2 linked regions of the Sus scrofa genome follow. The main gene of each other region encodes a partner of the protein of the gene in region 2 in a complex. Links are inferred from orthologs where the notes say so. Each region holds a gene or a part of one and is shown on either strand. Other genes may lie near its edges.

Region 1 (3,818 bases), on a different chromosome or scaffold from region 2:
TAACAAGAGCACATTACAATACTGAATAGAAACCCATGAAATTTTAACATAAAAAGGTTTCAGGAGTTCCCATTGTGGCTCAGTAGTAACGAACCGGACTAGTATCCATGAGGATGTATGTGGGTTTGATTCCTGGCCTTGCTCAGCGGGTAAAGGATCTAGTGTTGCCGTGAGCTATGGTGTCGGTCACAGATGCAGCTTGGATCCCAAGTTGCTGTGGCTGTGGCACAGGCCAGCAGGTGCAGCTCCAATTCAATCCCTAGCCAGGGAACTTCAATATTCAGCAAGTGCAGCCCTAAAAAGCAAACAAACAAACAAACAAACAAAAAAGATCTTGCTGTAGATCATGATGAATAACTTTGTTTGGCATCTCTTATATACTCAGGTATATAATCATTGTCCTCTGGCTGACTGAGTATTTCTGGGAAAGCATGAGGACAACACTATATATTCAATGAAATTTTATTTTATTTTATTTTGCTTCTTAGGGCCACGCCCACATCATATGGAAGCTCCCAGGCTAGGGGTCAAAGAGGAGCTACAGCTGCTGACCTACACCACAGCCACAGCAATGTGGGATCTGAGCCACATCTGCGACCTACACCACAGCTCACGGCAATGCTGGATCCTTAACCCACTGAGCGAGGCCAGGGATTGAACCTGCATCCTCATGGATCCTAGTCGGGTTCGTTAACCACTGAGCCACAAAGGGAACTCCTATTCAATGAAATTTTAAAATGGGGAATCGGCAGGGAGAGGTTACTATTTCAAAAAATGATCAGTTTATAAATTAAATTAGATTACAACTTTTTAACCCGCAATCTACCCTTTCATTTATCTCCAACTCAGTACCTATTAAGCTACAAGGAGTTCTAATATTGGTGAACAAACCTACATTCATCTTATTCATACCCTAATCCTATTACTTCCTAGTGTGTTAGTAACTAAACTTAAAATTTAAACCCTAAATTTTCTGCTGTACCCTAACATCTAGATTATTTCAGCTGTCCCTTTGTGGGCACTTACATGTGACTTAAAGGCCTATAATTACTCATTATATTCTAAGTGTATACAAGCATACGTAGACACACAAGAGATAACTATATACAAGCTATATACATATATATGAAAATACATATAATAGCTTTGTAAGATATAGCTATCTCTGTATATATATGTAGTATATTATAGAATAGTATAGAAAAAGTACAGTTATTTGCTACTTTTCTAAAAAATATCTATTAACACTTTCCCAAATCACGAATGAAAACTTAAGAGTCAATCACTCTAAAAATGTGATTCAGGAGTTCTCTTGTGGTATAGCAGGTTAAGGATCCGGTGTCATTACTGCAGCTGCTTGGGTTGCTGCTGTGGTGTGGGTTTGATCCCTGGCCAGAGGAATTCCACGTGCTGTGGTCACAGCCATAAACAAATAAATAGGTAGATAGATAGATGGGTAGATAGACAGATAGGTAGGTAGGTAGGTAGATAGGGAGGTAGCTAGAGAAAGAAATAAATTTTAAAAATTTGGTTCAATGACTTATCAAGGTGCAATATGGTAAATCTGAACAATTCCTCAAGTGACAATACTGACAGATAAGATTTACTACAATGGCAACATTAAATTTTAGTAGACGATTTTATTTTCCTTTATTTATTTGTCTTTTTAGGGCCACACCTGCAGCAAATGGAGGTTCCCAGGCTAAGGGTCGAATTGGAGCTGTAGCCGCTGGCCTATACCACAGCCATAGCAATGCCAGATCCGAGCCACATCTGCAATCTACACCACAGTTCACGGCAACACCAGATCCTTAACCTATTAAGCGAGGCCAGGGATAGAACCTGTGTCCTCATGGTTACCAGTCAGATTCATTTCCATTAAGCCACAATGGGAACTCCTGATTTTATTTCAATTTTATTTTTAAACATTTTTAAACAACCCAAAGGGCTTCAATTAGTGATATATATTTCCACAGTAAGGTAACACGCTTTCTTTAGAAACCAAACAGTAAGTGTATTTCCAGTTAAGAAGAAGTCAAGAATAAAATACAACCGTATCTATATGTATGGTAGCTCTATACTACCCTCCTTGGGCTAGGCAGGGAAGGATATGAGAGAACATAGCATAGTGATAAAGTGAGTTCAGGTTTCTCTTACAGTGAACAACCCATGTGCTTAGGGCAATACACTCAAATATAACATTTTTCAACCTTAGCACTACCGATATTCTGGGTTGGGTCATTCTTTTGGGGGAGGTGGGGTACAGGCAGATGAACTCTAGGATGTACAGCAGTATCCCTGGACTCTCCTGGTTGGATACCAGTAGCACCTCTCCAGTTGTGACAACTAAAAATGTCTCCAGACACTGGCAAATGGCCCCTGGGAAGGAGGAAGGAGGGTGGAGCTGTTCAACATAATCCAGTTTGTATTAACTGGTAAAGAAGTTATAAAGAATAGTACCAAACATTTATAATTAGGAACTTCCTGGTCCCTACACAATAAGGATAAATGAAAATAAAAGATAAAGCCATTCTTTAAAGCTTGAACTTTTAGGCCACAATAACATAGCACTAATGAATTAACATTTGTATTAATCCAGAAAAAAGAATTTTTAGAATTCAAATAAAGGAGACATTACCTGGTTGATTGCATTTGCCTGGTAGTTTCTGGATCTTCGAACATCTTCACAATTGGTTCTGTTTCTGCCTGTAGCTGTTTCAGTTGTGCAACAACAGTGGTCCTTTTTTCTCTCAAAGCTAATTAGAAACACAAATGAGTACTACAGTGTTAAACCATACTGCTCACTGTGAGGGTACCGCTGGAAATTTTTCAACCTATCTAAATTGTGCATATATTTATTCATTTCTCCCCAACATATTTACAGGCCAGGAATCACCCACTCAGTAACTATCCCAAATCCAATTTCCTCTACCTAACACTACAAAGGCACATAAAGGAAAAGAGAATCCTTTTTTTTTTTTTTTTTTTTTAAATTCTTTAAGAAAAGTGAGGAATATGCACTGGGGGAAGAAACTGTCATAGGAACAATTATTTAACTCTACATTTCAGAGACTTCATTCTTAGTGTTTTTAAATTCACTGTCACTGAATTCTCTCACTGAATTTGTTGTCACTGAATATTATCCTAGAATATTTTTTTTTTTTGGTCACACCCACAGCATAGAAGTTTCTGGGCCAGGGACTGAACCCTACAACTGGAACACCTGAGCCACAGCGGTGACAAGGCCAGATGAGCCTTAAGGGAACTCCCGTAATTCTCTAATTTGAGTGCTAGTTTTCAGCCAACAGTTTTTGATTAAGTAGACCTGGGATATGGCCTTAGAATCTGCATTCCTAACAAGCTCTCCCAGGTGAGCAGGTAATGCTGGTTCTGGGGCCACACGTTTTAGAATCAGGACTAATACCAATGCCCTTTTTTTTCTTTTTCTTTTTTGGCCACACCCAAGGCATATGGAAGTTCCTGAGCCAGGGATCAAATACGAATCACAGCTGCAACCTAGGCCACAGCAATATCAAATCCTTAACTTTTATACCCAGATGCTTTAAGACAAAATAAAAGAGGGATCTCTAAGGCATACAAGATACTAACTAAGAGTTAGCAAGCCAAACACCTGCAACATTCTCAGATAATTCTAAGGAAACAATTTGATCCATAAGCACAATTTGATCCATAAGCACAACTTCGATGACCATGTTTCAAAGTAGTTTCACACCTTTTATGGTGAGAAAATAATACTTTCAAAGACCTGTAATCTTCGTATTACCTTTCATCCAAAGAACCTTTAAATCATTCAAATA
Region 2 (4,379 bases):
TCTACATTTCTAACAAACTCCCAAGTGTGGCTGATCAGGAAAAAACTTTGAGTAACTGGGCTGCAGAATATCTTTTGGAAGACCATCTTTATAAAATGTGGTCTATTTGTAGACTCACTGAAAAAGATACATAAGAAATGGGGAACACTGGTTGCCACCAGAAAGAACATAATGGCTGATCATCCTATATACCCATTTGAATGAATGTTGTACCAAGTACGTATGTTACATATTCAAAACTAAGAAATTAAGAAAACAACAAAAACAAAAATATGTTTAACAGCTCACCTTTTAAAATCCTGAAGTGGAGCTCAGTGGCCCAAGCTAGGTGCAGCTTAGCTCATCTTAAACCCTTTAGTATTATAAATTTATCTTTTCAGCTTATCTCTGATTGCGCCATTCAGTCAGAACAGGGACCACAAGCATAAAAGGCACTGAACACATTTCACTTGGTTGGTCTTTAAAACTCTTTATCGGCCTCACTTACCCTCAGGTAGCCTTTCATATATCCTACCTCTCTTCTCTGCGGTTAATGCTATCCTTTTACACTAAACCTCACAATGCCTTTTTGTTGCAGTCATCTCACTGTGTCGAAATTTGTTTATATGTCTATACTTGAGTGAGCGAGGACAAGGCTAGAGCTTACGCTTAGCGCAGATCGAGTTCCGAAATTATTCTGCGAAAAGAATGAATAATGTATTGACTTCAGGGGGCTCACAGGAAGGAAAAATTCTTGAACATGGGGACTCCCTTCCATATCTTCGTGACTACCTGGAGGCAAACGTGCCAGGAGCTGACTGAACACCCTGACTGGGAAGACTGCCAGGAGCTTGGCCCTCTCTATTCGCTTCTTCCTGGCCGCCCCATGCACCACCGGCTTCCAGAGGGATCCCGCCTCGTTCCGCCAGCGACCGCACCCTCCTGGGGTCGGGGAGCCAGGCGACTGCCGCCACAGGCGGGCTCGGCGTTCAGAGCCCACTTCTGAGTGCCGCGTGGAGAGGCTGCGGGTTTCCTTGGGACCAGCCAGAGGCCAAGGGTGGCGATCCATGTGAACAGAAGGAGGGCGCACCCGACCGGTCCGGGCGGGTATGGGTTAGGATGGCAAGGGCAGGAGAGAGCCAAGCACCGGGAAAAGGACTGCCCTGCTAACTTCGCCGCACTTACATTTTTCTCCCCAGGGCGTAGGGTGGCTGCCTCCTAGCCTCTTCCTCTCTCCCCACCCCACTAGCAGACAGGACCACCCTGCTGGGTGCGTGGGGTACTGGACGCTCCGCCTCGCCCACCGCGTTCCACGCCCCCTTCCCGCCCGCGAGAGCATCGCCGCCGCCGCCGCCGCCAGAGGGGGAGGAGCCTGGGCCCCGGCGTTAAGTCAGCCACAGTCCCAGCCTGCCCCGCGCCGGCAAACGAGAGCAGATCCAGTGACTCACTGCCGCGCTAACTCCTCGCTCGCTGTCGCCTCACACACGCTCATACCCGGCGCGAGATGGCGGCGGCGGCGGCGGCAGCAGCGGCGGGGGACTCCGATTCTTGGGGTGAGGAGAAGTTCCGGGGGTAGGCCGGGGCTGGCGCCAGCCCCACGCCCAAGCAAGCTTTAACACAGCTCGCTCTCTTCCGTAGACGCAGACACGTTCTCCGTGGATGACCCAGTGCGGAAGGTGGGGGGCGGCGGCACCGCCGGCGGGGACCGCTGGGAAGGCGAGGACGAGGACGAGGACGTCAAGGTGGGTGCGGGTCGGGGCTCCGGCCAGCGCGGGAGCGAGCTGGCGCCGTCGCGGGCCGGGGTGCTCGCCGAGGGGCGGTCGGTCGGACGGACTCTGGGCCCAGAGGCGCCGCCCCGGCCTGCGGGCTGTGGGTCTAGGCGCAAGCGTAGGGCCTGGTGGTGCCCTGTTCCCCTCGCTCGCCGGCCCTGGGGGCCGGAGGCCGATAGCGTGGTCTCTCGGATTTCCTTGGCGAGGACGCCAGCCCCATCCCTTTGAAGGACCGCACTCCGGCCTGGATCCCACTCGCCAACTGGCGACGGGAGGTGACAGCAGAGGCTGGACCGGCCCACGTGCAAACTTCGCGGTCCGGAGCTGCTCTTCAGTGGTGAGACTGGGAAGTTGAGGATGGAGCCTCTGGCTTATCCCATATGGAAAGTCTTGCACCCCATTGCTTTTTCGAGCTCAGGTTTCCCCAGGCCAGTAACTCATTTACATCCCAAGCTTCATTTGAAGAGTTTGTTCGAGCTGTTAGAGGAGTGAAATATTATGATTTAATTTCAGCCACCTTTTTTTCCCCCCACGCAAATGAAAGAATTTTTAGCTTCCTTTCTCCCACCCTATGGTAAAAGGGTGAACTGAGTATTGAGATAGCTAGCAGTTAGTGGTCAGAAACCTGGGTAGTCCACACAGCGACCTGAAAAATGGAGAGGTTTACAGAGTGAGTTTTTAATAACCTACACACGAAAGCATAAGGAAATAATGAAGATTTGAAGGTTGGAGAAGACGAGGGAGACAGTGATTTTTTGTGTGTTTTTCCTATGCCTTATAGATTTGAACCCAACTTACTCTCGCTGTTTGTTTATGAAAACTCCTGGGGGCTCATCATAAGACTTCAGATGACATTATGACTACTGCGTTTTGTTTTTGTTTTTGTTTTTGTTTTCAAGTATCTACAGAGTCTCAAGGGTGGAATGTTAAGACTTATTAACTAAGTTCTCAAATACTTCATTTTTGTGAAAATCAAGTTTTGTATGATTTGGAAATTTTTTTTATGGTTTTGATTCATTTGGTGAATGTTTACCCTTCAGCTCACTTTGACAACCCTACAAGTCCTTCTGCTTGTGTTGAAAAAAATTTAAGCTAGATAATCACTATGAGCTTCATATTAATATTGCCTTTTTTAGATTGTACCCTTTTCTCCTGAATCTGATGAGGTGGATGTTCAATTCATTGAATTGCCTGAGGTTCAAGTATGATTTGAGTTTTGCAGACCTTGGGATTAATAAATGAGCAATAGTATTGTGAAGATACTTAGATGCTTCATTTACATGTTGTGTAGACATGAGAATGGATTGTGTTAGCCTCATTGCAAGATACTAGTTACCTCCCTACGTGGTGGCAGATTTTCTGTCTTGAACCTTTAGTTCAGATTTATCCTTTTACTTTTTCTGTGCATAGTGGTTGTAGGAGTTAAGACATCTGTTAAGAAAATTAGGAATGAGTGAGAAGAAACAACTAGAGAAATCAGGAAAGAATTACCAAAATACGAAGTTTGAATAAAGTAGTCTGGATTAATATCATGAGGTAGCGTGCCTGAAATTATTTGATATAAATGCCATCAATCCTGATAAATACAGTTCTAGCCACTTGAAATTAATTTTGGACATTTTTAATTGGTGAGGGACCATAAAGATCATCTTGTCCAGTCATTTTTAAGTGCAGAATTTCTTTCTTTTATACAAATAGCGTACTTCTTTTACAGAAACTTTGATGTAGATCTTGGAATAGAAAGCTGAACTTGTTCATTTTATTTCCATGTTGAAATATTGGTTTATTTCTGTTTAGTTTCTCCAAAGATTTCTAAGATAAGGTATCCATGGAGTAGTTTGATTCCTGGAATTTGGAATCAGACAGACCAGAATCTATGCTGTTGTCTTGACATTTTCTATAAAGAATTTTTAAATTTTTTAAGTTTCCCAGTCTTCACAGAAGCTACCTCAGGAAATTATTTTGCATTTTCTATTTTTTGGGGGGTTTTGTTTTTGTTTTTTGCTTTTTTTAGGGCTGCACCTGCTGCATATGGAGGTTCCCAGACCTTTGTTCCCAGACTAGGGTTCTAATCAGAGCTGTAGCTGCGGGCCTACACCACCACAGCCACAGCAACACCAGATCCCAGCCGAGTCTTCGACCTACACCACAGCTCATAGCAATGCCGGACTCTTAACCCACTGAGCGAGGCCAGGGATTGAACCCACAACCTCATGGTTCCTAGTCAGATTCCTTTCCACTGTGCCACTACGGGAACGGGAACTCCTTTTGCATTTTAAATGAGATAATGTGTCAAGCATTAAGCATAGTTACCTGGCACTTGGTAGGCGTTCAATAAATGTTAATTCCGTCTCACTTGAGGATGTAGTCTTAATTTTTCTGGTTAATGGAAAATTTGTTAAGGCTGTGTAGATCTAGTAGCTGAGGGTTATTTTTGTGCCACAGTTTGTGGTTTATTAAGCTTGAAGGAGTAAGTTCTCTCCACAATGGCTGTTTACTGTGAATTTGTTTTGAATGGAATGACCATGGTTATCAAGCAAGTTTTTGCGTGCTCAGAGGTTACCAATCTAGAGTTGAAATTTGTCACCTTCAATGTTAGTGAGTACAGGTTTTCCCTGCTACCCCCCAAAA

The links.
Region 1: EIF3J (region 2) and EIF3E share a complex: the UniProt entries of both Homo sapiens proteins name them as parts of the eukaryotic translation initiation factor 3 (eIF-3) complex. The link is inferred for Sus scrofa from reciprocal best matches to the Homo sapiens genes EIF3J and EIF3E.

The regions. Positions count from the first base shown.
Region 1 is NC_010446.5:29,295,125-29,298,942, reverse strand, and holds part of EIF3E (eukaryotic translation initiation factor 3 subunit E), read right to left. Parts: intron 2,757-3,818; coding exon 2,639-2,756; intron 1-2,638. UniProt on the Homo sapiens protein: Component of the eukaryotic translation initiation factor 3 (eIF-3) complex, which is required for several steps in the initiation of protein synthesis.
Region 2 is NC_010443.5:127,016,235-127,020,613, reverse strand, and holds the start of EIF3J (eukaryotic translation initiation factor 3 subunit J), read left to right. Parts: upstream 1-1,349; 5' UTR 1,350-1,483; coding exon 1,484-1,532; intron 1,533-1,617; coding exon 1,618-1,721; intron 1,722-4,379. UniProt on the Homo sapiens protein: Component of the eukaryotic translation initiation factor 3 (eIF-3) complex, which is required for several steps in the initiation of protein synthesis.